Linked DNA regions of Macaca fascicularis. The protein of the gene in region 2 purifies or fractionates together with the protein of the main gene of each other region. This does not show direct contact. Links are inferred from orthologs where the notes say so. Each region holds a gene or a part of one and is shown on either strand. Other genes may lie near its edges. The genes, in order: IER2, PPP2R2B, PABIR1, PPP2R1B, IQGAP1, MTCL1 and CDCA4.

The links.
Region 1: the proteins of PPP2R2B (region 2) and IER2 purify together in Homo sapiens (affinity purification with mass spectrometry; 3 studies listed by BioGRID and IntAct, with this or other methods). This does not show direct contact. The link is inferred for Macaca fascicularis from reciprocal best matches to the Homo sapiens genes PPP2R2B and IER2.
Region 3: the proteins of PPP2R2B (region 2) and PABIR1 purify together in Homo sapiens (affinity purification with mass spectrometry; 4 studies listed by BioGRID and IntAct, with this or other methods). This does not show direct contact. The link is inferred for Macaca fascicularis from reciprocal best matches to the Homo sapiens genes PPP2R2B and PABIR1.
Region 4: the proteins of PPP2R2B (region 2) and PPP2R1B purify together in Homo sapiens (affinity purification with mass spectrometry; 4 studies listed by BioGRID and IntAct, with this or other methods). This does not show direct contact. The link is inferred for Macaca fascicularis from reciprocal best matches to the Homo sapiens genes PPP2R2B and PPP2R1B.
Region 5: the proteins of PPP2R2B (region 2) and IQGAP1 purify together in Homo sapiens (co-immunoprecipitation; 3 studies listed by BioGRID and IntAct, with this or other methods). This does not show direct contact. The link is inferred for Macaca fascicularis from reciprocal best matches to the Homo sapiens genes PPP2R2B and IQGAP1.
Region 6: the proteins of PPP2R2B (region 2) and MTCL1 purify together in Homo sapiens (affinity purification with mass spectrometry; 4 studies listed by BioGRID and IntAct, with this or other methods). This does not show direct contact. The link is inferred for Macaca fascicularis from reciprocal best matches to the Homo sapiens genes PPP2R2B and MTCL1.
Region 7: the proteins of PPP2R2B (region 2) and CDCA4 purify together in Homo sapiens (affinity purification with mass spectrometry; 4 studies listed by BioGRID and IntAct, with this or other methods). This does not show direct contact. The link is inferred for Macaca fascicularis from reciprocal best matches to the Homo sapiens genes PPP2R2B and CDCA4.

The regions. Positions count from the first base shown.
Region 1 is NC_088393.1:13,559,329-13,563,339, reverse strand, and holds IER2 (immediate early response gene 2 protein), read right to left. Parts: upstream 2,439-4,011; 5' UTR 2,307-2,438; coding exon 1,635-2,306; 3' UTR 597-1,634; downstream 1-596. UniProt on the Homo sapiens protein: DNA-binding protein that seems to act as a transcription factor. Involved in the regulation of neuronal differentiation, acts upon JNK-signaling pathway activation and plays a role in neurite outgrowth in hippocampal cells.
Region 2 is NC_088380.1:153,678,961-153,682,841, forward strand, and holds part of PPP2R2B (serine/threonine-protein phosphatase 2A 55 kDa regulatory subunit B beta isoform), read right to left. Parts: intron 3,311-3,881; exon of another isoform or gene 3,124-3,310; intron 2,728-3,123; coding exon 2,534-2,727; intron 1-2,533. UniProt on the Homo sapiens protein: The B regulatory subunit might modulate substrate selectivity and catalytic activity, and might also direct the localization of the catalytic enzyme to a particular subcellular compartment.
Region 3 is NC_088389.1:99,502,923-99,507,359, forward strand, and holds PABIR1 (PPP2R1A-PPP2R2A-interacting phosphatase regulator 1), read left to right. Parts: upstream 1-1,318; 5' UTR 1,319-1,418; coding exon 1,419-2,282; 3' UTR 2,283-3,865; downstream 3,866-4,437. UniProt on the Homo sapiens protein: Acts as an inhibitor of serine/threonine-protein phosphatase 2A (PP2A) activity. Inhibits PP2A activity by blocking the substrate binding site on PPP2R2A and the active site of PPP2CA.
Region 4 is NC_088388.1:110,685,924-110,690,297, forward strand, and holds the start of PPP2R1B (serine/threonine-protein phosphatase 2A 65 kDa regulatory subunit A beta isoform), read right to left. Parts: upstream 3,076-4,374; 5' UTR 3,049-3,075; coding exon 2,935-3,048; intron 2,077-2,934; coding exon 1,986-2,076; intron 1,589-1,985; coding exon 1,488-1,588; intron 1-1,487. UniProt on the Homo sapiens protein: The PR65 subunit of protein phosphatase 2A serves as a scaffolding molecule to coordinate the assembly of the catalytic subunit and a variable regulatory B subunit.
Region 5 is NC_088381.1:75,037,100-75,040,980, reverse strand, and holds part of IQGAP1 (ras GTPase-activating-like protein IQGAP1), read right to left. Parts: intron 652-3,881; coding exon 538-651; 3' UTR 1-537. UniProt on the Homo sapiens protein: Plays a crucial role in regulating the dynamics and assembly of the actin cytoskeleton.
Region 6 is NC_088392.1:77,204,015-77,207,895, reverse strand, and holds part of MTCL1 (microtubule cross-linking factor 1), read right to left. Parts: intron 3,506-3,881; coding exon 2,192-3,505; intron 1,095-2,191; coding exon 939-1,094; intron 1-938. UniProt on the Homo sapiens protein: Microtubule-associated factor involved in the late phase of epithelial polarization and microtubule dynamics regulation.
Region 7 is NC_088381.1:173,204,020-173,208,404, forward strand, and holds the start of CDCA4 (cell division cycle-associated protein 4), read right to left. Parts: upstream 3,058-4,385; 5' UTR 2,478-3,057; coding exon 2,196-2,477; intron 1-2,195. UniProt on the Homo sapiens protein: May participate in the regulation of cell proliferation through the E2F/RB pathway. May be involved in molecular regulation of hematopoietic stem cells and progenitor cell lineage commitment and differentiation.

The DNA.
Region 1 (4,011 bases), on a different chromosome or scaffold from region 2:
CTAGAGCTGGGGAGTCACCCAAGCAAATAACTAGGGCTGTAATGGGCATTTTTAAAAACCTAAAGCCGGGTGGAGACACTGCTTAGAGGCCCATTTCACAGATGAAGAAACTGAGGCTGCACGTCCCTGCCTAAGCCACAAAGCGATTTCTCCAGGAAGATACGGGAATTGGGGCATAAATAGCCCTTCAAAGCTCACCCACTCAGCTCCACCTGAGGCTGTAGGGCCCCGGCCGCAGCTGATTCAGTTTGGTCTCGGGGTGGGGGCGGGGGGAGAGATCGACCACCTTTCAAGGCTTCAAAGGGCGATCAGTCCCCAGCTCCGCTTGGGGCACTGTTTAGTACTATCGTCTCAACTCAGAAAGCCCAGACCTCCCTGTCCCGGAGTTGTAGGACAATTTCAAGGGAACCCCCAAATCTGGAGGGGGCGGGGCTCCAGTTAGGGAATGCCCGGGCAAGGAAAAGAGGGCCCAGCCCTCTCCCGCCCACGTGGTAACCGGTCAGACCGGTTCTTGGGGCCCCAGCGAGCCGCCGCCAGCCCCTGACCCTTTAACCCCGCCCCTCCCCCACCAGAGCAGAAAACCAGACAGCACCGGCTTTTTTACTCAAATGGTCTTTATTTTCCTATCTGACATTTCTAACAAAACGCCAGGTAGACGGAATTAAAAAGAATTCACCACACGAAGGGTAAACAAAACAGACCCTCAGGAACTCCCTGGCAAAGATATTCCCCTCCCCAGATTGGCCCAGTTTCACCAGCAACTGGTCTCAGCTCAGCTTTATGCCTTTCCACTGACACCCCCACCCCTCCAACATTCTCGTGATTCAGACCAGGAACTTCTGGGATGATTGTGTCCGTGTCTGAGGGAGGGGCACGCTGAAACCTGGGAACCTACTGGGCACCTCTAATGCAGATGAGAAAAACTTGAATGTGAAACTAGATCAGCCCCCGCTCTCACCCGAAGGTGCAGAGGCGCGGGACATTAACCAGCAGCACGCGGGGATGAAGTGACTCAGGCCATTCTCCTCCCCACTCCCCAGGGCGGGTGCACGCCCCAGACCCTCCTCCCAGGCCCCACACCCACGCAAGGCGACAGGAAGCTCCCCACGCCTGCCCCATGACGCAACGATGACCGCTTACACAAGTATGTCAGTGGAGGGGGAAGGGGAGTGCCTGGAATTCTCCGAGGTTGGAAACGCAAAACCAACTCTTGAAAAACCTTGAAAAGGGCCACCACAGCCCCCAGTACAAAATCAAGTCCGACCCTGAGATCTAAAAAACAAAACAAAACAAAAATACAAAACAAAAACCCAAGCCTCCCTTCTCCCAGTCCAGAAGGAGAGCGAAAGGTTCACGTCCCAGTCCACTAAGAGACCTCTGGGCGCAGGTCTCTGCGGAAGGCGCCCGCGCCCCCGGCTCAGACTCCTCGGTGCCGTCGCTGCACACTGAAGGCGATGGCTCCCCGGGGACAGAGTCCCTCTCCGGGCCTCTCAGCAGCCCGGGCGGCGGCTTCTCTCCACGGTTTTCGCGGGCGCTCCCCCCGGGATGGAGGGGGGTGGCCTCGTCTCGGGTCTGCGCCCTCCGGCCGACGGTTCGACGCGCGCTCTGGGATCTGGCAGCGCCGCTCGGGGTCCTCAAAAGGCCACCACGGCCCGCACGAGCACGTTGAGCATGCTGTCCGCCGGGCGGCAGGCGGGCTTTGCCTCGCACGCGGGCGGCGCCGTCGGAGGGGCCGCGGGGCTGCAGTTCAGGAGGCCGGAGAAGCGCCTCTGCAGGACGCGGGCCAGGTTGGGAAAGGCGCCCTCCGCTTGCGCCGGGGGCGGTTGCAGGCAATCGGCGACTTCGGATGACGCCCCCTCCTCTTCCTCCTTTTCTTCCAGCCGGGCTTTCTTGCTCGGGACCAGTCCAGCGTCCCCGCCGTCGCTCAGGCTGCTGCTGCGTCGTTTGCGGCTGACTTTGGCGGGGCGCGGGCCACAGTAGGCGGAGGTCTCCTCGGCTGTCGGCGCCTCCTGCGTGTCCATGGGCTCCGGAGACGGGTGCTCACCGTCGGGGGTCGCTGTCTCGGCCGTGGACTCAGCTTCCCGGGGCGGGTGCAGGCGAGGGTCAGAGGGGAGGGCGGGCGGCAAGGACACTTCGGGCTCGAGGGCCTCTACCTTGGCCGAGAGGTAGAGCTCCCGGGCGCTGCGCATGACCAGCGACAGCTGCAGACTCCGGTGCAGCCGCAGGCCACCGCGCTGCATGCGGGAGTGATACATCTTCCACACCGACAGGGTCATGATGCGCTGTGCCTCCTTCTGCACTTCCATGGCGACTCGACGGCGACGGCGGCGTGGGCTCCCGGGACGGACAGAACAGGCAGCAGGTGCACTCCGGACAACGAGCTCGCTCACGCCTCTCTCCACAAACCAACCCACGCGGTGACACTGCTAGGACGCTCTGCCCGGGCGCCCGCCACCCAGGCCCTTTTATACCCCCAGTGACGTCACTGAGAAACCCCGCCCAACCGAAGGACGCATCCGGGCTTTCCAACTCGTCGCGGCCAAACACTCCTTAAAGCGACAGAATGCGATTTACCCAGCAGGGAAAGCGGACGGGAACCCTGGCGAAGCTTCCCCCCACTCCACGCTGAGCTCTCTGGGTGGGCTCCTTTCTCTCGGCCCCGCCGATGCATTAGCGCCTTGGCCCAAGGAAGGGGGGCCGGGGATGGGGCTCAGGGCCTACCCACATGCTCGCGTCTGGAGGCCCCAGTGGGTCGTGGGTGGCAAGTTTCCCTTCACACAGGGAAAGACCTGGGTTCCAGCCTGACCATGAGTGTCTTCTGCACCAATAATCATGCTAACAGCGCTTACTACGTGCCAGGCTAGGTTAAGAGCTCTCCTTTTATCCGTAATTCACCGAACCGCAGCCTCCACTCCTCGGAGGATACTGTTCTATCTGCTTCTTTCAAATGGGGAAACCAAGGCACAGTCACTGGGCCAATATTTACTAGACAAACAATATTTGCTACTGCTGTGAAAGGAGGCCACTGGGGCCTCCAGCTCTTCGGTCTCTAGCGTACGACAGCCCTTGCTTGTAGGCGGTGAGCCGCTGCGGGTTCCCGTGATTCGTACCAAGCCATTCCCCCGCAGTCTCCTGCGACAGGAGCTCCATGGGTGGGTTTAGAGCTCGCAAGGCTGCGAACCCGGCGCGCACGACAGTCCCCGTGAACACGTGGCTGCCGCCCCCCAGACAAGGGGGGACGAGTTCCGCCTCCGCGCTCCGGGAGGCGGGGTTCGGTTGGGAGCTGGAAACCCAGCAATGCAGAGACACAGCAAATAGAAAACCTCCGCCTTACCCTCCGCTACGCGCCGTCTCTCCAAGAAATCCTAATTGCAATTCCTCCAAAAAAAGGATGCAGACTTGTTCGAATGGCTCCATTCATTCCTGGTGCGGGCCCTTTAAGGGGTGGTGCGCCTCCCGTTTCCGCCCGCACTGGCTCGCGGCGCCTTCCCGCCACCAGCGCCCGCTGACTTCCACAACTAAATTTGGACGGAGTGACGTAGGACAGTCGCGCGGGCCGCTTCCGGTTGCCCATATTAGGAAAGGGCCCGTGATCGCCTTACCAGGCGGTGGCGGGGCTTCCGGGGGGGCGAGGGGCGGGGCTTTGCGCTCCAGGCACGCCCCTTCCCATCCCCCGTCTAGCCAGCCGGAGCAAGCTGGAGCCCCAGGCTTCCTGACTCGCATTCCAGCCATGTGGGTGGGGAGGAGAGTTTCACTTCCTTCCCTCCAGGGGCCAGGAAGGCGTGACGCCAGGAAAGCACCCCGCAGCGGGTAGGGGCGACCGGAGGGCTCCCACGAAGGCCATCTCCCAGAGACGCTACAGAACGACCCTACATACACAAGAGACGACCCGCTGAGACCCCGTTCATCCCATCTCTCCCCTTCCCAATTATTTCCCCCATACAAGGCCCCCTCCCAGGTTATCCCTGACCCCTGCCCCACACTGATCTTCTCAGGCCTTGGGGCACCCTC
Region 2 (3,881 bases):
TGAACTCGCCTGCAGCCACCACTTACAATGCAAATTGAGTTTAGAGTCCTTCACACTAACTACACAGCAAAAACCTTTCAGCTTTAAATAGAACACTGCAATGTGGAATGATCTGAGCAAACGGAAGAAAAATTCAGAAATACATGTGAAGGAGATATTTTGGAGGAAAAAAAGAACAATCTGACATAACTGAGCAGATAGGAGGAAAATGTAGAAATATTAAAGGAAACAGAAAAGCAAGATCTATAGAAGGAGCTAGAAGCTAATTCCCCACCCAGTAAGTGGGTATAAGTTAATAAGGGGGAAGAAAACTTGTGGGGCAAGTCCCCAGTGAGGATAATTTTAACAGAGTCTTTTGATCTGGTGCTCTTTCGAGGTATACTAACACTTCTTAAGGTATTCATTGGAAGAACCGGGACTCTTCCCCCTCTGGCAATAAAATTGCATGAATCTTCCCTGAAACGAATAGGTCAAAACCATAGGGAACTTCTTGCTCTATCTAACTTCTGATATTTACATCGTTTAAGTTCTCTTTTCCTTTTCTTTCCATACCTTCTCTAAGATCAGATTTTAAAACCTGGAAGCTTCTGTGAAATAAAGGTTTGTTAGTTTTAAGTGTGTTTAGTATGTGTATATGTTTGAGAAAGAGAAAGAAATCTGAGAGGTTGATTCTCACATACCAGAAAGCTCATTGCTATAAACTCATATCTAATTGTTGACTACATGAACCTAGATATTCTATCCAGAATCAGAGTTTTCAAAAATGGAATAAAAATAAGAACAAAGGTAATATCCAGGGCCCTGAAAACAATAAAAGAATGCCATTTTAAACTGATTTCTTCACTTCACAGTTGACACTCCTATACACATAGCTCCACTCTGGTCATTTTCTCAGCTTGCTAAGTTTCTCTTGCCTGCATAATGTAATATACAAGAAAACACGAAGGCAGCTTTCTTTCTTTGTGGTTACAAACAGAAAGAAATTTACCCCCCAAAGCCAACAGATCCAAGGCCAGCTTCTCTCTTGGATGACATGCTTAGCTACAGAGTTAGTCATATGCTATCAAGTCACTGAGTCAGTGACAAAGCACTAAGATTGAGGGAGAACATCTTGCAATCAGGTTGCCATCATGCACAGAAAAAGAATCGGTAACTATGGTGCTCTGGATAGGGGAGAGATGGACTGCACATCTTAAAAGCCATCTCTAAGCTCCTGGAGGCCAGAGCTTACAACTCTGCTTTATCTGTCTAGCACCATGGGCATACTGGGCTTGATGCTCTCCAAAAATGATGGCAAATTGAGAATATACTTTCAATAGCACTGGGCATTCCTTCTATCTAGAACTTCCAGGGATGTTTATAGAAGATGCCACCTTTACCCCCAGATGTGTGTGTGTCTTTTTATTTCTTTCAGAGTTTGAACTATTTTACTCCCCCATCACATTTCTCTAGTAGTCTTTTGATTTGATTAAATATTACAGAAATGTTAGCATCCAAGAATAATAATTTTAAATGAATACAACTTGCAACATTGTCCTAAAGAACTTCCACATACATTTTCTCGCATGGATATTACAATGTGATAATGCAACACTTTGTAGGAGTGGCTAAGGATAAAAGGCCTACAGGTAGAAAATGAAAGCAAAAATGCAAAAGTTTTGGCATTGGGGGGAAAAATGCCTCTACTCTCTATTCACACACAAAAGGAAGAATGAGATTCCACCTGCTGACTTGCCCTCCCTGCCCGCACAGCACTAGGGCTTATGTCAGAACAAGCTGGGAGAGAGGGAGAGACGACAATTTCACCTCTTGGCAAAGCTCAGCTTGCTGAACCCTCTTGCTTTCTGCTGGCTGTTGATTCAGCAGAAACTACTGCTGCAGAATTCATAATGGTGATTTTTAAAGGCCCCACCGATCGCGTTGCTCGCCCCACGTGTCAGCCTCATTCGCTGGCCGCTAGAGCACTATTTCCCCAGCCACCTTTTTATTTTTGCTAATGCACTTCCAAAAGGAAAGACGTTCGGCCGTTTGCAAAGGGCCTTTGGGGTTTTGATTGTCTGAGCAGGTAACCTGGCCGGCCGGGGAGATGAATGGGCAGGAAATGAAACCATGCCCTCCCTGCAGCCACTGAGAGACATAACATCGTTTCGCTCAGGGAGGGGGTACCAAGGTCCTACTGGGCCCCTCCCTTCTTATCTCCCCCCAAAACCCCCGCAAACATCTCGGGCAAGGGATCATCTGCCTTCCTGGGGTCATCTTTCTGGGCGAGAGCCCCACCCTGAAAAGCCTAATCCCTGAGGGCCATTTTAACTCCCGTGGGCGCCGGGTCCACCTGCTGCTGAACGCCGGGCTCGCCTCGCGGAGCCCGGATGGATGCGGGGTGCACTGGCGGCTGCCGGGGCCAGCCGAGCCCCCGCCCCAGCCCCAGGGCCCGGAGGAGTCTCCGCCACTACGCGCCCAGCTGCCCACGAAGCACAGTGATCCGCAACTTGCGCCCGGCCCCAACGGCGGAATGCGGCGGGGCTGGCGTTACCTTCGGTCGCATAGCTGTGGTCGCGCAGGAAACTGTTGTTGATTTTGCGGGTATCAATGTCCTCCTCCATTGACAGCAGGCTTACTTGCGTGGGAACCAGAAGCCGGCAGACAAGTATCCATGATCCCTCCCCGCAGCCAGTCTCACAGGAGAGGGGGGCAGGGGAGCCAGTGGGACTGCACCATGGTCCGAGCCTGAGGAGGAGACGGGGAGGCGGAGAGAAAAAAAATAAAAACCCGGCAATGGAGCTGTCACCTCCTCCACTCGGGTTCTGCGAGGCTGCGGCGGCTCCTCCCGCGCGGTGCGCTCACTCCAGCTCCAATTCCCAGCGAGGATGCTGCGCCTGCCTCCGCTGCCTCCGGGTGCCAAGATGCGCCGTGCCCCGAGGGGTCTGGTCCCGCCCGCCCGCCCCGGAGGCGCTCACAAGCGGGTCTGGGGAGATGCCCAACAGGTTCCCCTCGTTGGCAGCCGCTCCAAAATGCAAAAAAAGATCCCTCCTCCCCCTGGGAGAGCGGGCAGCCGCGACAAAATGGTGCCTTTCTGGACCCGAGCTGCAGTGGCGAGATGGCAGGGACAGGATTCAGGCTTGCCTGGCCGGAATGAGGGTGCTGGTCCCACGGGAGGGCGGCTCCGGCAGGCGGGGGTAGGGAAGCTGGCGGGGAGCTGGGCAGGGCGCTGCGGCCGGCGCCAGCGCACTCACCCTCACACCCACACGCGCGCACTCGCAGCTGCTGCTGCTGCTGCTGCTGCTGCTGCTGCAGGAGGCTGGAGGCGGCTGGTGCATTAAAGGCGAGGCTCCTCCCAACCGCGTCAGCAGCCCCAGGACTCTTTCCCAGCAGTGGTGGTGGCCGAGGCAGAGGCTGCGGTTGCTCTTTACTGCAGTGGGGCGCATGCAGCCGCGAATCGGCACCTGGGCAGCAAGCGACTAGCTTGCAGGTTCAGGTGGAATGCATAGACGTGCTCTTCCAACCTCCTCCCCTCTCGCGCCACTCAGCTAAGGGCTGCATTTACGCTAGCACCCAGAGCCCCTAGCTCACTGCCCTTCTCCGAACACTTGCACTTGAGGACAGAAAAGAGAAGTAGGTTCCTTTGGATAGTCAGGAAGTCTACATCCAGGTCCCTTTTCCTCACCCTTATATGATGCATGTGGTCCCTTGGTGAATTTAAAGGGCGAGGTTTGGAGCTGGAAGCTTCAGAAAGAGAGGAGAGAGTGGAAAGCGCCGCTCAGAGCCTATCTTAAGCCCTCCACTAGGAATAGGAGGGAGAGCAGGGGCCAGAACTTCGTAATTGCTTCCCCCATTCCTAAGAGTCAAAATATCTTCTAACTATAGGAGGCTGGTGTTCAATA
Region 3 (4,437 bases), on a different chromosome or scaffold from region 2:
CAGAATGAGATCCAACTCTTACCCTCTGCTAACACTCGCCGCTCTTATGCTTCAGCAGCACTGCCCTTCTTTCTTTTTCCGCTTACTCAACAAACTCATGGCTGCCTCGGGCCTTAGCACTTGCTATTCTCTCTGCTTGGAATACTCATTCCCCAGATGTCCACGTGACTTGCTGCTGCTTGTCATTTAGATCTCAGCTCTAATTGTCCGCTGCCTTCTATCAGTAGTGCTCCATCACACCATCTTGTTTTTCCTAAGGCTTTACCACTATCTGAAAATAGCCTGCGTTTATTTCTGTATTTTCCCCTCAGTAAGAATTAAAAGTTCTCAGACTAGGGCCCATTTCCTAGCAGTGTTTGGCACATAGTAAGTATGCTGGAAAAAAAAAAAAAAACCTTGACTGAATAAATGAACAAATAAATTCACTTTTAATGAGCTATCAAGGTTTCATATTAATTACATGAGCCAAGAATAGTGTTTTTATTTTTAAAATGTGAGGACCTACTGGTTTTCCTTTAATCCTTCATACTTCACACATATGCTTGTGCTGGAACTATGACTGTAAATCAGTATCAGTACCATCCCCGGTTTTGGCTTTTTCCCCTAACCTAAACAGTTCTCATTTACTTTTCTCTCCATCTCCACTTCCACAGTCACCTTAGTGCAAATTACCATCCTCTCTGGCCTTTTTTCTGTAAGGTTTTAATCTCCCAGTATTTGTTCTCCAGACTGCAGGCCAGTGAGCTTTTCAGTTGCTATTATACCCATGCTTGAAAACCCTTTAAGTTTTCATTGTTCTCAAGATAAAGACCAGAATGTGGTCTGGTCCACCACCTCACGTCACGCCAGCCCTCACTCTCCACTCCAGGCCACACTTTCTCCTCCCCTCCTGGTTCCCGCCTGCCACCTGGCTGGGTCGCCCTTGCTTCCCGCTTCCTGCGAAGTTTTACATCGCACCCATTTCGCCCACTTCTTCGGATTTCAGGACACTGTTCCTTCCTCGAGGAAGCCCTCCCTGATTCGCAAGCGCCACTCCCCGTCATACAGCCCCACATCACCATGGGCCTCTCTTTCAGGGCTTTGTTCGTTTTATAAATATGTACTCCAGAATATGACAATCTTATTGACGTTCGTCAATGCCAGTTTGCGCTCAATAGCTATTTGCTGAAGGAATATACGGACTAGCGGCCCGACCACTCCTCGCCCCTCCCCTACCACTGCCGCGCAGATATTACGCATAAAGCAGGCGCCTCGAGGACGGACATCGCGAGCGCCTGCGCGAAGGGGTACGCATGCGCAGAGGGGCCAGCCCGCTGACAGATTCTCGGTGGCGGCGGCAGCGGCGGCGGCCCTGGACTGCGGGGAATGGGAATCCTAGGTCCCTGACTGAGCACCTCCCCCGCCTCCCTGCCCCCGACATGGCTCAGGAGAAGATGGAGCTAGACCTGGAGCTGCCTCCGGGTACGGGCGGGAGCCCGGCGGAGGGCGGCGGCAGCGGCGGCGGCGGGGGCCTCAGGAGGTCTAACAGCGCCCCCCTGATCCACGGCCTCAGTGACACTTCGCCGGTGTTCCAGGCCGAGGCGCCGAGCGCCAGGCGGAACAGCACAACGTTCCCGAGCCGCCACGGCCTGCTGCTACCGGCCTCCCCTGTCCGCATGCACAGCAGCCGCTTGCACCAGATCAAACAAGAAGAGGGTATGGACTTGATCAACCGAGAGACGGTCCACGAACGGGAGGTGCAGACCGCAATGCAGATAAGCCACTCCTGGGAGGAAAGTTTCAGCCTGAGTGACAACGACGTGGAGAAATCCGCCTCCCCCAAGCGCATCGATTTCATTCCTGTGTCACCGGCACCGTCACCCACTCGGGGAATTGGGAAGCAGTGTTTTTCGCCATCCTTGCAAAGTTTTGTAAGTAGCAACGGATTGCCTCCAAGCCCTATTCCCAGCCCAACGACCCGATTTACCACCCGGAGAAGCCAGAGCCCCATCAATTGCATTAGACCAAGTGTTCTTGGACCATTGAAAAGAAAATGTGAAATGGAAACTGATTATCAGCCAAAGAGATTTTTCCAGGGCATCACCAACATGCTTTCTTCTGACGTTGCACAGCTGTCAGATCCTGGTGTGTGTGTATCTTCGGATACCCTTGATGGAAACAGCAGCAGTGCCGGATCTTCTTGTAACTCACCAGCGAAAGTCAGCACTACCACCGACTCTCCTGTGTCACCTGCCCAAGCGGCTTCTCCATTTATTCCACTAGATGAACTTTCGTCTAAGTGATTCACTCATCCTGAGACTTTCTTTTTGCAGTGGAGAGAGAGAATAATCAAGTTGGGGCAAACACTGAACTTTGTCAATTAATTTGAGGCTATTTCCTATTCGACCCCTTTTCTTTTTTGAAATTTCCTGAAATGATGTTATTCTAGAGAACTTCTATGTCAGGTTCCTGCGGATACCTTTGAATTCAGTGTAGTAATATTTTCAGACGTTTCCCCAATAAGTGTGTTGAAGCATACATCTTTACGCTGCTACTATGTCTAAATACATATGTTATCCCTTGATTTTTTTAAATAATTGAGAGCTCTATTTATTTATGGGATTATTAAGTTCTGATGAAAATATAAATGTTGACTTAATCAGCATAGTAAACTGATGTTTAAAATTCCATACTTCATGCCCACACTAATTTTTAATGTTATTTTCAGTGGTTTGCCGATTTCCATTTGATGAAGAACTATACAGCTTAAAAAAAAAATACGTTAGTTATATCAATCTAGTGGTTGTCTGTTTTACCCAGGAATTCTTGGATATTTAGTTTTCTGGGTACCGAAGTGGGTGGGAGGGGGAATGATTAGAGAACAAATTATAAAAGTTTGCAACAAATCCTTTCAAATTAAGTATATAAAAGTAAACTTTTAAGGAAAACATTTTTAATGAGATTTTAATAGTAATTCTAGTCAGTCATACAACTATATTATAGAGAAAATAAAAATTTTCCTTTTTTTTTTTTTTTTTTAACCAGAAAGTGCATTTGCTTGGGTGCAATCCTAAAGTGAAATGGGACAGTGCCTTGCAGTCTTTGCCCACTGTACATAGGCTAAGGCTAAGCTCTTTGTACTACTGCAAACGTAAAAGTTTTTCAAATGTAGAAAATGTGTGGGAAGGCTTGTTGAACTTTGGCGCGCCCAGGTAAACAATACTCTCTCTCAATTGTTGATATACTTTAAAATATTCAGTTGTGCCTCAGTTCCAAAAATTATTGCCAACCAGGAGCCAGAGCAATTTTTGGCTACTTTTCTGCTCTGCCCATCTGTCACCTTACTGGTTTTCCCTTGTTCAGGAAGGAAGCAGCTGTTTCCTTGCCAACAGGTCCCTTCCTTCATCTCCCACCAAAGTAGGGCACCATTGATTAGACAAAGGTACAGTGTAACTTGGATTTCTGACAGCAACAACAGGACTGAATTGTTTAACCTCTGTGGTTAAAGCTACAGCTTGAGTTGACTGCCTTGGGGATGTCCATTAATTAAGGGGTGATGATTTGCAAGAGAAAATTAGTGGAGAGTCACATAGGTAAATCATTATTTAACTTAGGTTTTGCTAAAGGTAGAATAGTCGAATGTTCTTTTCTTTGCCTTTACAATTAAGACAATAAGAATAACAAAATTTTCTTAATATTCTTCCTTATACCTCATATAGCTTCCTTAACTAGATAGTTTGACAGAAAGAATGGCATACAAAGAGGAAAGGGGAAAAATGACTCAGAACAAGACAAAAGCTCTGACTTTTTAAAGTTATCACTTACAGAGACTAACAATTTTGTGGAATTTTTACGACTATGAAAATAAATGGAACTGGTCAACTCTTGATGGTTGCCTCAAGATGGAGTGAAATTGCATTGAGGGTAAGACTGTGTCCACAGGTTTAAAATTCTCTCTTCTGAGTAATAGTGTTCATGTGCTCCCATTCTCAACCTTGTTCTTCAAATTCAAACTTAAATAGTCTGACTTCTTGTTGGGTAACTTGCCCTGCCTCCAGAGGTATTTAAACTTCATTATCTTCAACACAGAAATTGTTAATCTTCTCACTTCACCTATTCTTGCATTATCTCAATTGATGTCATCACTAATTTCCTAAACTAGAAATCATGGAAGCATCTTTGACTTTTCCTTTTCTCTGTTGGATTAGCTTAATCACCAAGTCCTGTCAACTTCTGAAATGAATCTCAAATTTCTTCCCTTCTCTATCTGTTGCCCCTGATTTTGCCTTAAGTTTTTGCCTGAGTGATCTCCCAGGCTGTTTTCTGTCTCCTTTTGGTTCAGTCTTTATACTGCCTCTTGAGAAATCTTTCTAAAATTTAAACTTGATATTTTTCACCCTCTTGCTTGAAAACTTCATTTGCTTCCCCATTTCCTACTCTTTAAGGAATGATTTCTTT
Region 4 (4,374 bases), on a different chromosome or scaffold from region 2:
AAATATACGTAGACTCTATAGGAATTACTAATGGATTAGATGTGGGGAACAAGGGAAAGAGAATTCAAGAATATATTCTAGGTTTTGGCTTGTCCAACTGGGAAGACAGTGATACCATTTACTTAAGTGGAACAACTAAATGAGAAGTGTATTTGGGGGATAAAGCTAAGTTTTGTTTTGTGTATGTTAAGTTTGAAATACCTGTTTGACATTCAAGTAGAAAAAAGCATAGGCCTGTATACATAGAAATATATGTATCTATATCTATATATTCATACTTATCTATTAATCAATCTACCTCAGGAGTTCCATGGAAAAACCAGAACTAGAGATAGAAATCACCAGAATCAGTATTACTACCCAGTATTGAAAGCCCTGACGCATACATCCCTACCTTGTCCATCTGTTGAATTCCTGGTCATCCTTTAAAACCTAGTTTAGACATCATCTCCCAAGGTCTTCCCTGATCACCCTGAGTGAATCTCTTTCTCCCCTCTATTACGTGGGTAGGGTATTTTGTAGGTACTTACACCTTTCCATTTAAGACTGCACAGTAATTATTTGCTGACGCATAAAGGCAAGGGACCTCATTCAATTCACTTTGGTGGTCATTTTCTTTTTTTTTAAGCGATGGGGATCTCACTATGTTGCCCAGGCTGAATTCAAACTCCTGGGCTCAAGTGATCCTCCCATCTCAGCCTCCTGAGTAGCTGGTACTACAGGCTTGTGCCACCAAGCCCCCTCACATTGGTCTTCTTCAACATTAACATTGTAAATTACGATATGTCTGATAAAGTAGACTCTTTTTTTTTTTTTTTTTTTTCAGATGGAGTCTGGCTCTGTCGCCCAGGCTGGAGTGCAGTGGCCGGATCTCGGCTCACTGCAAGCTCCGCCTCCCGGGTTTACGCCATTCTTCCGCCTCAGCCTCCCGAGTAGCTGGGACTACAGGCGCCCGCCACCTCGCCCGGCTAGTTTTTTTGTATTTTTTAGTAAAGACGGCGTTTCACCGTGTTCGCCAGGATGGTCTCGATCTCCTGACCTCGTGATCCGCCCGTCTCGGCCTCCCAAAAAGTAGACTCTTAATAAATGTCAATGAAATTGAACCAAATTCATCAAAAATTCATCAATTTGCATCAGAAAGTCAGAAGCAAAAGTTACAATTGACAAAGACAAAATGCTGCCAGGTGAGAATTAAGGTTTCCAACATCATGCGGGGGAACCATTAAAACAATCAAATCCTTTTTCTACCTCCATCTAAACTAGTAAGTCTACAGATGCAGAAAAGAAGGACGAAGTTCTCTTATTCACAGAAAAAAAAGAAGGGGTTGAGTCCAAAGTGCCTATAGTATTTCTTCTCTCAATGACTCACATGACTATCTGCCCATAAAAAGATCTGCATAAAAAATGCTGCAGTGTGTCTATCACCAAACTGTGTATCATTTATACTGCAAAAGTTCTAGGAGGGTAGGCAGCTTATAAATACTCACCAGCAGACAGTGGGCAAAGTCAGGACCTCCCACTAGGCCAGTGAAATTTCCCAGCTGCTCAGCAAGAGCTAATAGTACCTCATCTTCATCATAAATTGTATCTGGAAGGGACAACAACAGGGACTCATCAACATGGATAGCTCTCACATAGCTGGACACTGACACAAAACTAGGAACAGATTCACTATGCGACCGGTAAGGTGGCCCAGTCAAAATCCTAACAGCATTTTCTTCCTTCTCCTCAATCAACCATCTTCCTGGATCTGTTTTGCACAACGAATTAGAAATTCATACTCCCATATCAATTACTTTCCCAACAGCTAAATGGTTGATGTTTGAATATATCTAACCACAACTAATAATATCCTCTGTTCTGTTTCTTTTGCACAGAAAGCACCTGGCTCATTTTAATGTGGGTAACAAACTCTAAAAAAGTCAGTGTCGAAAGTCCCTGGAAAATGAATGTCCCTGCCTTTCTTTAAACAAAGATTCACATACCTGTAAGAAATGGCAACAATTCACTTCGCGTCCTTTCTACTCCAAGTGCTAGGGCAATTGTTGATAACTTCTTAATACTGTTGAGTCGGAGCTTCAGAAAAGAAAGTAGAAAGAAGAACAATGTAAAGAAACGGCTGAATTTAGATCAAAAGACAAAAGGTGCTAACAGGTGAAATAATGACACAGGGGTAAGAACGAAGATAACCTTTTACTTAGATTTTACTGTTAAGGAACCTCCATAGGACGGAGGAGTGTAACTCGGCCTCACTAGCCGGCGGAAGATTTCCTGGGAGAAACACTCAGAAGGGCCTGGAAGAGAAATGAATGAAAGACAATACAACACCCAGGAAGTAAGATAATCTTAAAAAGAGAGGACTTTGGCAGTGGTGAAGCAGGTGAAACGGTTGAATACAACGCCTGTGGTTTCAAAGAAAAGTTCCCGCAGAGCTGATACAACGACTCGTCCAGGTTAATCGGCCATCCCACCCCCTCTTTCTACCCAACAGGACGAGCCAGTTCCAAGCCCAGATGAAGGGATTCCGAGGCACTTCAAAGAGCTTCTGGGCATCCTGCGCCCCTCAGCCGCTCCAGCCCCGTCTCGGCCCGGCACCGCGCTTCTCCAGCTCCCTCGCCTACCAGGCGCGGCCACCTCACAGCCCGGATAGGGCGCCCAGGCGGGAAGCGGGTTCCCCGACAACCGCCCTGGAAAGGCAAGGCTCCGGGCGGACCCCTTAGGGGGTCCGAAGCAGGGGTACCAGAGAGGTCCCCGGGAGGGTCGAGGCGTGTCACCACAGCCCCTCGCAGAGCTTTCCCTGCCTCCCCTTCAAGTTTCTGCTACGAGTCCGGCTCATTCAGTACCCCGGCCACCCCCACCGAGGCGCAGGCCTTCCCCCTTCTCTACCACGCGACCAGTCGGTCTCGCCTCGGCTCCCCGGCCTCAGTCCAGTACCTGCACGTCTTCATTGCGGAGCTCGTCGATTAAAACCGCGATTGGGTATAGCGAATCATCTCCATCTCCCCCCGCTGCTCCTGGGCCGGTCCCGAGCCCCGATGCGCCCGCCATGTTCTTTCTCCTCCTGCTGCTGGTCACAGCCTCCCGCCCCGCGCCCAGGCCCCGCCCCCGCCCCGCGCCCAGGCCCCGCCCCGCGCCCGGGCAGCAGGGGAGAAGGCCGCCGCGCGGGTTTAGCAGAGGTTGGGGAGTTGAGTTTCTGTCCCGATGATTAAGACTCCCTTCCGACCCCCACTGCAGGAGTTGTAGGTCTGAACTCAAGAAGACGGGTGGGCTGAGAAAGCGAATGGAACCCCTGCGTCCTTTCCCCAGCCGAAAGAAACAGGGACAGGGATTCATCCGGCTCGTTGTAGTCTGAAGGGGCCAGGGACCTACCTGAGTGATCCGCGCTGTGCCCTCTTAAGACTCAGGCGGACCAAAGAGAGTGCCCGAGGCCAGGAGGAAAAAGGCTTTAGCACCTCCCCTGACTTCATCCTGGCCCTGAGCCACTGGATCTCCAGCCCTAATTTCTCCGCTCAGCCTCAAGCTTCCACAGAACCCCTCCACCTCTTCCGTCGGCCTGTTCTCCAGAATGGTATCTGGCTCCTGCTCCGTAAGACAAATAACGCGGGCGGTGAGAGAAAATGAACAGTGCTGTCCAAACTCCCCAGTCAATATTTTTTCCACGCAAGCTGTTAAAAACATGCTGCTCTCTTGTTTTTGTGTTTCTTTTCAGTTTGGTACTGGAATGGTGCCTTCTGTTGTATTTTCTTCCTCCCATTTTTTAGCTCTTTAGCATGCTAGAAGTACAACAATGAAGCAAAACTAGGACAAGCTTTAATCCCTTGAGGAAGAAAACCCAAACTGGCCTCCCTAGACCTCCAAGAGTCCTCAGAGGCAGCAAGGGGAAGAGGTGGAGGTCTGGGAGCTCGTTCTTACAAACCTGAATGGAAAGTTTTCACTTATCCTTGTCAGGGTAGCACAGAATAATTAGAATGTTTTGTTTGTTTTAGACTGGAATTTAAGCAGCTTGGAGTGATAACTACATATGGTGATCACAAGCTCCGAAATGGTAATTCTATATGCCTGATTAATGAAACTATTAATGCAGTGTAGGAGACAGACTTTTTTAAAACATGGGGTCTGAGGCCGAGGCGGACGGATCACGTGAGGCCAGGAGTTCGAGACCAGCCTGGCCAACTTGGTGAAACCCCATCTCTACTAAAAATACAAAAATTAGCTGGGCTGGTGACCGGCACCTGTAGTCCCAGCTACTCAGGAGGCTGACATGAGAATCTCTTGAGCCCCAGAGGCAGAGGTTGCAGTGAGCCAGGATCGCACCACTGTACTCCAATCTGGGCGGCAGAGTGAGACCCCGTGTCAAAAATAAATAAATAAATA
Region 5 (3,881 bases), on a different chromosome or scaffold from region 2:
TGGAAGATAACAAATGATTCCCCATATCCTTCAATCTTCCTGATGGGACAGAAATATAAAGGAACTTTACTTTTAAATGACAACCTAATAACTGTTAATAACATGACATTTTAGTTGTGCATCCTGTATGTATGTCATTGGTGCTAATGGCTTCCACTTCTAAATGACAAAAATTTGAATCCTACCATCCCTATTGGTAATTAAAACAAACACTAAAGCTTACAATAAAGTAATGCAACCTCTAAGACTGTAGCAACAGAGAAATTTTAGTGGAGTTTCCACTCTTTCCTAAGTAATGGAAGAAAATGAAGAATCCAGAAAGGTCAGACTAAGCCTGAAACACAATTTCACTATGAAAAAAGGGTAACAAAATGTCCCATCAGAGCGAGAGGAGTTAAAAATGTGGCATCGGGAGTGTATCAGACTGAGGCGCTGTTGTGGGCTAGGTCTTTGCTTCCAATGAGTCAAGAAGGACCTAGAAAGGAGCTATGAGGTGCTTCTTTCCTTTATCTTTCTGGGCTGGCAGCAAATGATCAATTACTTCCCGTAGAACTTTTTGTTGAGAAGGAAGATCAGGAGGTTGACATTTACTTTAGCTCTATCAAATAATTTCATGACTGCAACTCCTTCATATTGTAGCTGCAGCAGGTCCTATTAACAAAACAAAACATTTTGACAGTTAATCAAGTCTGTGGAACAAGGAAAAAGGACACAAGGTAGGGAGGGCTCCAGATGGACTGAGGCCTGCCTTGTGTGCCAGATGTGAACTGGGGTGAAAGAAAAGTTCCTAGCTAGGAAACTACCCACTGCACAACCAGCCTGAGAGCTGGAGCAATAGGGCGCACTGGCCAAAAGGCTCTTCTGGTTGATTTGGAGTTAGGAAGTCATGTTGTTCATATCAAAATTCATCATACATGGAAAGAAAAAGAAACATGTTCAGTTGCCACACACACCTAAGCTTTTTATTTCAGAAGTCACAATGACATTTTCGCATTTCATCCATGTTATGGGTCACTAGTTTTAATAAATCTGGAAAAGGTGAAGATTAAACCTACGATAAAATATACTAAGCATGGGAAATGAGACAAGGCTGGTAATGTCACCTCAATACTATCTGCTAGATTCTTAATTTCTTTTTTTTTTTTGAGATGGAGTCTCGCTCTGTAGCCCGGGCTGGAGTGCAGTGGCCGGATCTCAGCTCACTGCAAGCTCCGCCTCCCAGGTTTACGCCATTCTCTGGCCTCAGCCTCCCGAGTAGCTGGGACTACAGGTGCCCGCCACCACGCCCGGCTACTTTTTTTTTTTTTGTAGTTTTTAGTAGAGACGGGGTTTCACCGTGTTAGCCAGGATGGTCTCGATCTCCTGACCTCGTGATCCGCCCGTCTCGGCTCCCAAAGTGCTGGGATTACAGGCTTGAGCCACCGCGCCCGGCCCTAGATTCTTAATTTCTATTCCACATAAGAACACTCACTTTTTTTTTTTTTTTTTTTTTTGAGACGGAGTCTCGCTCTGCCACCCAGGCTGGAGTGCAGTGGGGCAATCTCAGCTCACTGCAAGCTCCGCCTCCTGGGTCCATGCCATTCTCCCGCCTCAGCCTCCCGAGCGGCTGGGATTACAGGCACCCACCACACGCCCGGCTAATTTTTTGTATTTTTAGTAGAGACGGGGTTTCACCGTGTTAGCCAGGATGGTCTCGATCTCCTGACCTCATTATCAGCCCACCTCGGCCTCCCAAAGTGCTGGGATTACAGGCGTGAGCCACCGCGCCCGGTAACATGAGAAAACTTTTTATCCTGAAGGCAAGGAGAAAAGAGAGAACTTGATGTTTTATTAGGTGTCTGCCATGTGCTTGGTATTGTGTAAGCACATTATATAGCATCTTTTAAAAGTCTTCACAAAAATTTTTATGAGGTGCGATCATCCTAATTTTAAAGATGAGCTATCGAGGCTCTGAGATGTTAAATGACTTGCACCACAGGACAGAGATGGACGTGGTAAATCCAGATCTGACTGCAATGCTCTTGCTTTTCCTGTTACTTTCGCCATTGTCCTGAACAAGTTTAAGAAATCTGAGCATTCTCACTTCTAAACTTTAGAAAAATGGTGATGAGAAAGCAAGGGTCAAAAGGCTTGAAAGGACCCCACAAGGCCGGGTGCGGTGGCTCACGCCTGTAATCCCAGCACTTTGGGAGGCTGAGGCAGGTGGATCATGAAGTAGGGAGTTAGAGACCAGCCTGGCCAACATGGTGAAACCCTGTTTCGACTAAAAATACAAAAATTAGCTGGGCATCCGGCGTGGTGGCACACGCCTGTATTCCCAGCTATTCAGTAGGCTGAGGCAGGAGAGTCACTTGAACCCGGGAGGTGGAGGTTGCAGTGAGCCGAGATTGCGCCATTGCACTCCAGCTTGGGCAATAAGAGCGAAACTCTGTCTCAAAAAAAAAAAAAAAAAAATTAGCCGGGCGTGATGGTGCACACCTGTAATCCCAGCCACTCAGGAGGTTGAGGCAGGACAATCAGTTGAACCCAGGAGGTGGAGGTTGTAGTGAGTGGAGATCACACCACTACACTCCAGTCTGGGCGACAGGGTGAGACTCCACCGCTCCCCCACCCAACCGCAAAAAAAAAAAAAAAAAAAAAGAAAGGACCCCACAAGTTCAATCATCTGCTGGAAAAATCCTAGCAGCTCCATGAAGGCTGCTGGCACCTGTGCCTAACATAATACCCCACACCTGGCAGTCACCCCACATTTAATGAATTTGTACATAAATTAATAAATTACCATAGGCAGACTGGTTGGCCTAACACAATTTGGTTAAGAAATTTAAAAATAAAAATATGTTCTGATAACTCCACGTAAATAAAATAAAAAAATTTTAAAATTAAAACAATAACAATTTGGTGAACTGAGGGAATGAGGTTCCTTTTTTTTTTGGTGGAAGTATTTCAGTTAGCTGTGTGCATCACAAAATCATTTCACATTTGTTTAGCTAACATGTTTTAATGGTCTACTGGTCACTGACAAGGAAACGAAGATGACTAAGAAATGCTACCTGTCCTTAAGGAGTTTATGGCTTTAGCGGGGAGAGGGGAAGTAAGTCAACACCTACTGTAAACAGAGGATGTCTGCAAAGGCTACAGAAGTGAAGGGGAAACCACCTATTATGGCTTGGCTGGGGGAGGTACACACATGGAAGTACTTGACAAATGATGGAGGAACAAAAGGGGTGGGGTTGGAAGGCAGGGGAGGGGAGGGAGGGCAGCATGAGCAGAAGTCCAAATGCACATTCACAGGAAGGCACCTGCCCAGGCTGGCAGGGCATGGCTGTGTGAAGCAGTGCAAGAAAGGAGACGGGAGCAGACTAACTGGTGCCACACACACAAAGCTAAAGGAGTCTGGACGTCACCTAGGAATCCTCTCAATGCCCTGCTATTTTTTAACGTGTAAAAATCAGATATTTCAAAATAAAACTTAGGGATCTTTATGCTGTAAAAATGAATTACTCCCGAGTTCTTTTTGGATTTAAGATAGGATGTGGTTTACAAACATAAACTTTACACACACCTTGTCAGAAGTGCATCTAACCTTTAAGTACCTACATCAAATCAAAATGAGAAAAAAATTTCAAGCTACTGAGTGGACTTACAATTTTGCAATGTCAGCATGTGTACTTATGCATTTTGTTCAAGTCCAAGGTATCAGCTCAATTTAGTGGCAGCACTAAGTGGAAGCTTCAGATAAATGTTTTCTGAAGATTTACATCTGCAAAAGCTCTCCAGAGTGTACACACCAAACCAGACGTGCTGCAACACTCAGCTTCTTTCCCCACAGTGTGGAGCCCAGCTCACTGCTGAATGTAGACAGCTTTCCTCAGATGAGT
Region 6 (3,881 bases), on a different chromosome or scaffold from region 2:
CAGCTATGTGTGACACACCTTGAAGGGCAGAACACTTGGAAAGGGAGATGCAGTTCCTGTAAAACCAACCATCAAAGGGAAGGGGGCCGCCCTGTGTAGCCGGAGCTGTGGTTCCAGAAACAGCCCATGGCAAAGAAGGAAGAGCTACAGTGGGAAGGGAAAACTGGCCCCTGACTAGGGGAGCTATGACATACTTCCCCCTTGTAAGTCCCCAATGGCAGGACATTGCATTCTCTATTACTAATCATACTTTACACTGACACAGCATCTGGACTTTTAGAGGTGTTTCCTCATTCAACAGCTCCTTGGGAACCCCCTCTTTCTCTCCCGGGTGGGGTGGCCTGTGTCTAAGAGCTTTCACTCTCCCAGGCTTCTGACAACAGTTCCAACCATGGTCCCTGTGGTGGCTGCAGCCTTGTGTACACCGGGTTACTGTGGTGAAAGAGCCTGCTGAGGGTGCCCACAGGTCAGGAGTGAGCCTCCCTGACTCTACCAACCGGCTGGCAGTATCACTCGAGACCGTGGGATGGTCACACGAGACACAGGCAACAACTGAAAAAGGGGAGCCCTAAGGGGAGTTTCCTCCAGAGCAGGGAAGCCCGGGCTGAGTTTTCATCCCTGTTCTCTGCAACTGCACAAGAAGCCACTGCGCGCTCAACAATCGGCCTGCCTCCAGGGGCTCCCGGTCTGCGGAAACAGGAGGTGGACAGCGCCTGCGGTGAGCTGTCCCTCTGTCTGACAAGCACAGCAGTTCACCGCATGCACCTGCACACACCTGCCTGTCCCAGTGCACGCAATGGGTTTGCTGCCAAGTGAGTTCCACCTAGTTCCACATCCTCCTGCCATGTTCCCTCAGGGCCTTGTCCGGGACAGAAAACGTCAGGCAGCCAGCCACACAGAAAATGGAAGGGGGGCGGGGATTGCTTGCCCACGCTGACCTCCAGACTGAAGCAGGTCTGGCCTCCCAGCCCATGGCTCCCGGCGTCCCCGTCTGCGCGGCGGTGCAGCTCCCGTGCAGTTCGGAGGCGCAGGCTCTCCCGCTCGTCCCCTCGGGCCGGCCCCAGCTGCCACTCTAGCTGCTCTCTCAGTCTGGACTGTTAGGTGCACGGGAGGGATTTTTGTTTTTTTTAAATTTTAAACAAACAAACAAAAAACACAAAGGACAAGAAGGTGGAGGCAGGGAGAGGGGATAAAGAAAACAAAAATGGGTAAGGGAGACGACTGAGAAAACGACCAAAGAACAGCACAAATAGAAACACCAGCTTAAAGACAGCGGTGGACGAAAGTGAAGAGAACAGACCCAAGATGAGAATGAGCAAAAGGGCGGGTGGACACATCCGAAAAGCAAAAAGAGAAAGTGGGGGTGCAAAACACTGGTTACGGGGCACATGCGATGGCGATGCGTGAATCCGGAACTCAACCGCAAGCACGCTACCCGTGAAGGAAACGGAAAACGAGGCTCTTCCTTCCTTACTTGTGGGTCGAGCAGCCAAAGCCACAGTCCAGGGCGGCAGCTGGGCCATGCACCCAGGCGAGGCTAGGACAGCAGTCCTCGGAGGCCCTCCGCGCCCTCCCCAGCGGCGGCAGGGCGGCACGAGCCAGCAGCGCTTTTCCACCAAAACCATCATCCTTCTCAGCACCGCGCTCCTCGCCCGCTTTGGCTGATCCTCCAGCGGGAATGGGGGCCTGGGCTGCCTAGGGCCTTGGACTGCACTGTGTCCCTTGAAACACACCCAGGAAGGGACGTGCTTGGTAGCGAGTCTGCTAATTATCCTGACTGTGACATGCGTTTGTCTTAGCCTCCTCACGGCTTCTTCAGCGTGTGGCTGGTTGGTTGAGATACCAAGAGAGGAGCAAGGCCGGCCTGCGTCGAGCCCTATCGCTTCCACTGGGCTTAGCCTCGTGTCTGGGAGGGCCTCTAAACCATGAGCCGTGGCGCAGTTAAAAATAAGACAGGAAAAAGGAAAAAGAAACAAGGCAATACAAGAAAACTTAAAAAAAAAAAACAAAAAACAAAAAAAACGGAGCCCAACCAAGAGAGAGGATCCGGTTGCCCCGGAGGCTTTAGTACAATGCAGGTTTGAAATCATAACCAAGCAGCCGTGAGCAGCGTGAGCCCGAGTGCAGCAATGCCAGCGAGAAGGAGGAAGAGCAAGGCGGAGCAGGGAGGCGAAGCCACGAGCCCCCTTACCTGCAAGTCTGGGCCCAGCTCCTTCCCCAGGTTCCCGATGGGGGAGTCCCGGGACACGGAAGTCACAGTGGAGAGGAAGCTAGAGGACTCTGTGAGGTGGGGCAAGGGGGATAGGCCATCCCCAATGCGGTTCACCTGCTCCAGGAAGGCCTGAAGCTCTTTCTTGAAAGACTTCATCTTGGCGTTGATGGTCCCCAGCAGGTGAGGCTCCTGCCGGTCCCCCTCGCCCCGCTCCTCTTCACCCTGGAGGCCAGGCCCCGGCGAGGGTGCACCCCCCTGCAGCCCCGCGTCACGGAGGAAGCTGTCGGTGTCCGCGATGAGGTGCTCCACCGTCCGCTCTAGCCGCTGGGCCTCGTGTTTTAGGGTCACTAGGCACTCGGAGTCCTCCCGGGCCTTCAGGAGCTCCGTGGCGCACGGCTCGCTGGCCTCCGATGGCTTCCCGCTCCCGAAGCCCGACGTCTTCTCGAACATCTCCTCCGAGTCACTCTCCCCGCCAACAGGGCCTTCCCGCTTGGGCTGGGGCAGGCGGCTCTCCTCCCCTTCACTCTCCTTCTTGCCTGCATCGCTCTCGGCATCGCTGTCCCGGGGACTGGGGGCACGCAGCCCCAGGTGCGCTGCCAGGTCGCAGCGCTGGATGTTGGACAGCAGCGCATGGTTCTCGTGCTGCAGTTTGAGCACCTTGCCGCTGAGCTCGCTGATCTGCAGCCTGGCTGACTTCAGCTCCTCCTGCAGGGGTGCCCCTCCCCCGGCACCAGGACTCGCACCCTCCCCGAGCCAGCCCGGCTCCCGGGGAGGCTCAAACTTAAACTTGCTGAGCTCATGGGTCAGCTGCCGGTTGTGGTCTTCGATCTCGGAGATGGACCTCCGGAGCAGCTCCGCTTCCTCTTCCACGAACTGCAGGTGGCGGCGGAGCTCAGTGGAGGACTCCAGGGAGTCGCCGAAGGGTGAGGTAGGAATGCTGGGTGCGTGGTCCCGGCCCAGGCCCTCCCGCTCCTGCTGGCCCCGCATGTCCTCCATCTCTGCCTTGAGGCCACGGTTCTCCACCTCCAGCTCCACGATCTTCCGGCCCAAGATGTTGGCTTCCTCCTCCACCAGCTTCAGCCGCAGCTTCAGCTCGGCCTCCCGGGTGCTGGGGGGCCCGCCTGCTTCCCCCGTGGGCAGGGGGCTGTCCACATCTCCATAGAGGGACTTGTACTTCTGGAGCTCCTGCTCCAGCTCGTCCTTCTCCCGTCCTAGCTTGGCCATCTTTTTGCGCATCAGGAAGGCTTCCTCTTTGGCAAACTGGAGCTGGCACCTCAAATCGGCACTGTCATCCTGCCAGGAAAGAACAGCCCGGGAGAAGGGTTATTTGAAAATACCAAATGTTCGTGTTTTTCATGATTCCCCTCACACCTCGCCCCCAATGCACACAAACATCAAACACCGATCTTCCCGTCGGTGCCGTTGAGTTACACAGAGAAAGACCCAAGACAAAGCAGGGGTGGGCCTGGGGCCTGTGAAAGGCCTACAGTTTGTTGCTTTGCCACAGAAACAAAAGAAACAAAAAAAATTAGTTTGGAAAAAAAAATGCACGTGGAAATCATCATACAAGTTATGAGCGAAGTAGGCAAAACGAAATGAGGCGCAAAACCCAGCGGGAATGCGCAACACCTCATTGCTCTGTGGATCCCACCTGGTTCCTCACCGGCAC
Region 7 (4,385 bases), on a different chromosome or scaffold from region 2:
GGAAGTTGTGAAAACACAGAAGGGTAGCCACCATCCGGGTGGGAAATGCTACAAGGGGCCAGAGGGAATCCTCCAGAATGATGGAGATTCTCTCGCCCCTTGTAGCACTTGCGTAACCCAGGGACCTGCGTAGATGTGCCTGGGTTATACAAGTCCTACAAGGGACGAGAGAGAATCTCCATCATCCTCCACTGCATCTCATCCCATCCACAGATCCCATTCTGGTACCATGAGAATATTCCTGTTCAGTCACTTCAAATCATTGCTGTCCAATGTTCCAAATCTCCAGCAGCTAATTCTGTGTTGTACCCAATATTTTAAAATGCTAACAAGTTTATTACTATTAATACAAAAAGGAGTAAAGCTCACAGGTGTTTTTTACAGTCGCGTGACCCCTAAGAGCTGTCACCCACAACGTGCGTTCAGGGGTGAAGAGGATAAGGTTGGGCCCGGAGAAGCTGGCCTGTGAGGATCACCCTGAATTGGGCCATATCTGTGTTTGGGACAAAGTCACCAAGAGCATCATCTTGACCAGCCCTGAGGGATGCCTGGGCTGGGCCCAGCTCCCTGAGGGCCTCCAGTGTGACTCTGGCCTGAGGCTGCTTAACTCCTTCTAATATGGAAGGAAGGGCCCTATACCATACGGGCGGGGCTGTGGAGCCTAGCTCCCTGCTCAATTTTTTTTTTTTTTAAGAAGGAGTCTCATTCTGTCCCCCAGGCTGGAGTGCAGTGATGCAATCTCAGTTCACTGCAACCTCCACCTCCCAGGTTCAAGCGATTCTCCTGCCTCAGCCTCCTGAGTAGCTGGGACTACAGGCACGTGGCACCACACCTGGCTAATTTTTGTATTTTTTGCAGAGACGGGGTTTCACCATGTTGTCCAGGCTGATCTCCAACTCCTGACCTCAGGCAATCCGACCACCTCAGCCTCCCAAAGTGTTGGATTACAAGTGTGAGCCACCATGCCTGACCCCCTGCTCAGTTTTGAAGCTCCTTCTACACATCTAGGTAAATGCCTAAAATCCCACCAACTCCACAGGGTGTCAACGGGACAGCCAAGTCGTTCACCCCTCAGTCAACTCCCAGCACCGCCCTTAGGCTTCTAAACCAAGCATCAACCAGAAAGAGAAAAACCAAGAGGGTCAGACAGACTGAAGATATGTCTGACATGGCAGGTGGGACAGCCTACAGGCCACTAGGGACAGAGTAAACTAAGCCCACGGAGGCAGAGGCCAGCAGAGAGCAGCCCCGCAGTGCTACTCAGGCAAGCAGAGTACAGCTGAGGGACCGGCCCTTCACTACAGCAGCAGCCGCCACACCTTCGTGGCTGAGCAATCCCATGAGGCTGGCTGAAAATGCAGATTCCCAGATTCTGACCAATAGGGCTGGGACTGCTGGGGACAGACTCAACTCTGACCTAACCTGTCACCTTCACAGCTGGACTTGCAGCCACTTCGAAGTTTCGGGTTAAGCAAATTATCAACAATTTCCATTTCTCACACATCAGATAAGCTTTGAAATACTCTATCGGAAAAACAGGAAGAAGAGGAGCAAGGTCTTCAGTCTTGAGATCTACTGAGTGGGAGCTCCACCTTCCACTACAGTCTGCTGGAGGCTGTTCCTGAACAATTACTGATACGTTAATTTCAGGGGTTATTTTTGTTTTGTTTTGTTTTTGAGACGGAGTCTTGCTCTGTCGTCCAGGCTGGAGAACCTCCGCCTTCCGGGTTCAAGTGATTCTTCTGCCTCAGCCTCCCGTGTAGCTAGGATTACGATTACAGGCATGCGCCATCACGCCCAGCTAATTTTTGTATTTTTAGTAGAGACGGGGTTTCACCATGTTGGCCAGCTGGTCTCGAACTGGGGACCTCAGGTGATCCACCCGCCTAGGCCTCCTCCCAAAGTGCTGGTAAGTGTGAGCTACCGCGCCCAGCTAATTTCAGGTACTTTTGTTACTTGGAACGATACACCTTCCTTTCCCTGAAAACATGTTCCAATGGCAAGTTGAGGGAAACTTCCTGGCCCCTTTTCTAAGATAAAGCCTACCACTCTTCCTAGAAAAAGGGTGTAACTCACTTTGTGTTGATTTCCACCCTAATTATAAAACATGGTGACACTTGAAAATAGAGTGGTTGTACGTAGAAAGTTTATAAAACCTAAGTTTTGGGAACAGGCGATGTTTTTCTGTGGCTCACTTTGAGAGAACGGTTATCTGGGTCCTGCCGTCTCGTGAGTCCCACACGAAGGCCACAGGAGAGGCGAGGCAGCGGAGACCCTCTATTCCAGCAAGCTGTACGAGCCTTTGTCACGACGATCCTGTTTACTGGACGAGAAGCGTTTGAAAACGCGCAGGGAAGCTTGCCTCTGACTTCTGCAAATGTCTCGGGGACTCTTCCTAATCCCACCTCGGAACGCCGGAGGAGCCCAGGAAAGACGGCGCTGGCCGACCCGCCCGGGGTCTGGGCCTCCTCCCACATCCTCGGCCCTCTCCGCGGCCGGGATCCAATTGAGGGGGCTGCAGCGCGCCCTGGCCCGGTTAGTGAGGTCGGCCCGGGACAGGGCGGGGGCGGCCGTGGCGGGGCGCGCCCGGCGTTCCCTCCGCGGCAACTAGAGCCGAGGTACAGGAAACGCCGCTGCGTACCCCAGCCGGGCCCTCGCGAAGTCGCTCCCGTGTGGGGCCGCCCGGAGGCCTCGACGAAGCCCCAGCTCCGCAATCCGCATGGAACGCAGACGGCGGCCCGGGCCCCTCTGGTTCCCCGGGCCCCCTCAGCAGCGGCCACCCCGCGGTGGAACCAGCGCCCAGGAGGGCGGCGAGGGCGCCCGCGGCAGCCCCAGCGGGAACCCTGAGCGCCGCCTCCGCCCCGGACCCAAGCCAGCGCCAGGAGCCACAGACTCCGCGCACCGCCCCCGGGCTCCTCCGCGCCCGGCAGCACAAACGCGCGCGCCGCCGTAGACGCCCTCGCGGTCAGCCAGACCCGCTCACCTGACCCGCGAGGCCGCCCGCCGGCTCCTCTGCTCAGCCGCCGCCACCGCCGCCGCCACCAGCTTCCCGCCGCTGAGGGAGGAGCGCCCGCCGGCGCGGGGCGGGGCGTGCGACCGCCACTCAGCGTCCACAAAGGGTCGACGCTGCGCCCTCCGCGCGCCGTGCCCACTGATTGGCCACCCACGGACCGGGGGCGGGGCCTCTTGTTCAAACCCGCGCGGGCGGGGCATCTGCGGCGCGTGTTCCCGCGCTGCGGCGACGGCCGTTGGGGCTCGCGCGCGCCCTCGGTCGCCCCGCCCCCGCCTCCGCCTCCGCGCCGGGCCCCGCGACGCCCACGCCGCGCCGGCTCCCAGGTCTCCCCGCGCCCAATCCGGCCCCGCCCAGCCCCGCCGGCTCGCAGGTCTCCGCACGTCTGGTCCTAAACTGAATGCGCCTGCGCTGGGGGCCCACGTGGTGCCCTCGGGAGGGCGTGGCGGGGCAGCCTGGTAGGGGCTGATCCTCTCTCGCTTCTGCCTAGGTTAACTTCTCTGCCGAGGGATCCGTGCCGGGGTGGGGAGGAGCCGGGAACGGCAGTTCCCGGGCGGCCTGGGCTCCGAAGTCTATCCCAGCCTCTCCAGAAACCGCGGTTATCTCTAGAGGCTTCCCAGGTTTACACGTAAGAAATGTAACGTGAAAGTAGAAAGCAGGGAAACACGTGTTTTAAATCTCTTAGTGGAAAAGGTTTTAAATAGGATACAAGAGTCTAATATTCTTTGAACGCCTGCAGCAGGCCCGGCAGGCGTGGCTGCAGCTGAGAACCCTGTGCTGGTGGTGGGGGAATCCTCAGCTGAATCCGCAGATGCGGATGCGCCAAGGTCAGTGGTTAATGCTGAAATGCTGTCGGAAAAAGCTGGGAGTGACGTTGGGGCGCTGCTCACATAGGTCTCTAGGATAAGAGGCGTCTTAAAGCACCAAAAGGAAGAGTGGAAGAGTATTCCAGGAGAGGAATGGCTAGGACAAAGCCCGAGGCAGGGGCAGGAAGAAGTCTCAGTGCAGTGAAAAAGAACCCTGTGATCTCGTGGGAAAGTTTAAATGTGAGAGGTGGAGTGATTTTGAGGCTGTTCTCTGAGTGGGATGGAGACTACTGGGACGGTCAGCAGAGAAGGAACTGGGATCTGAATTATGCTTGAAAAGAATCACTGTTCTTATTTAAAAAAAAAACAAAACGGGTTTATTTCGCCCATGCTGGAGGACAGTGGCGTGATAATGGCTCACTGTATCCTCGAACTCTTGTGCTCAAGTGATCCTCACGCCTCAGCTTCCCACGTAGCTGGGACTACAGAAGTGTGTGCCACCACACCAAGCTAACCTTTTTTTTTTTTTTTTTTTTTTTTGGTAATTTTGTAGAGACAGAGTATTGCCT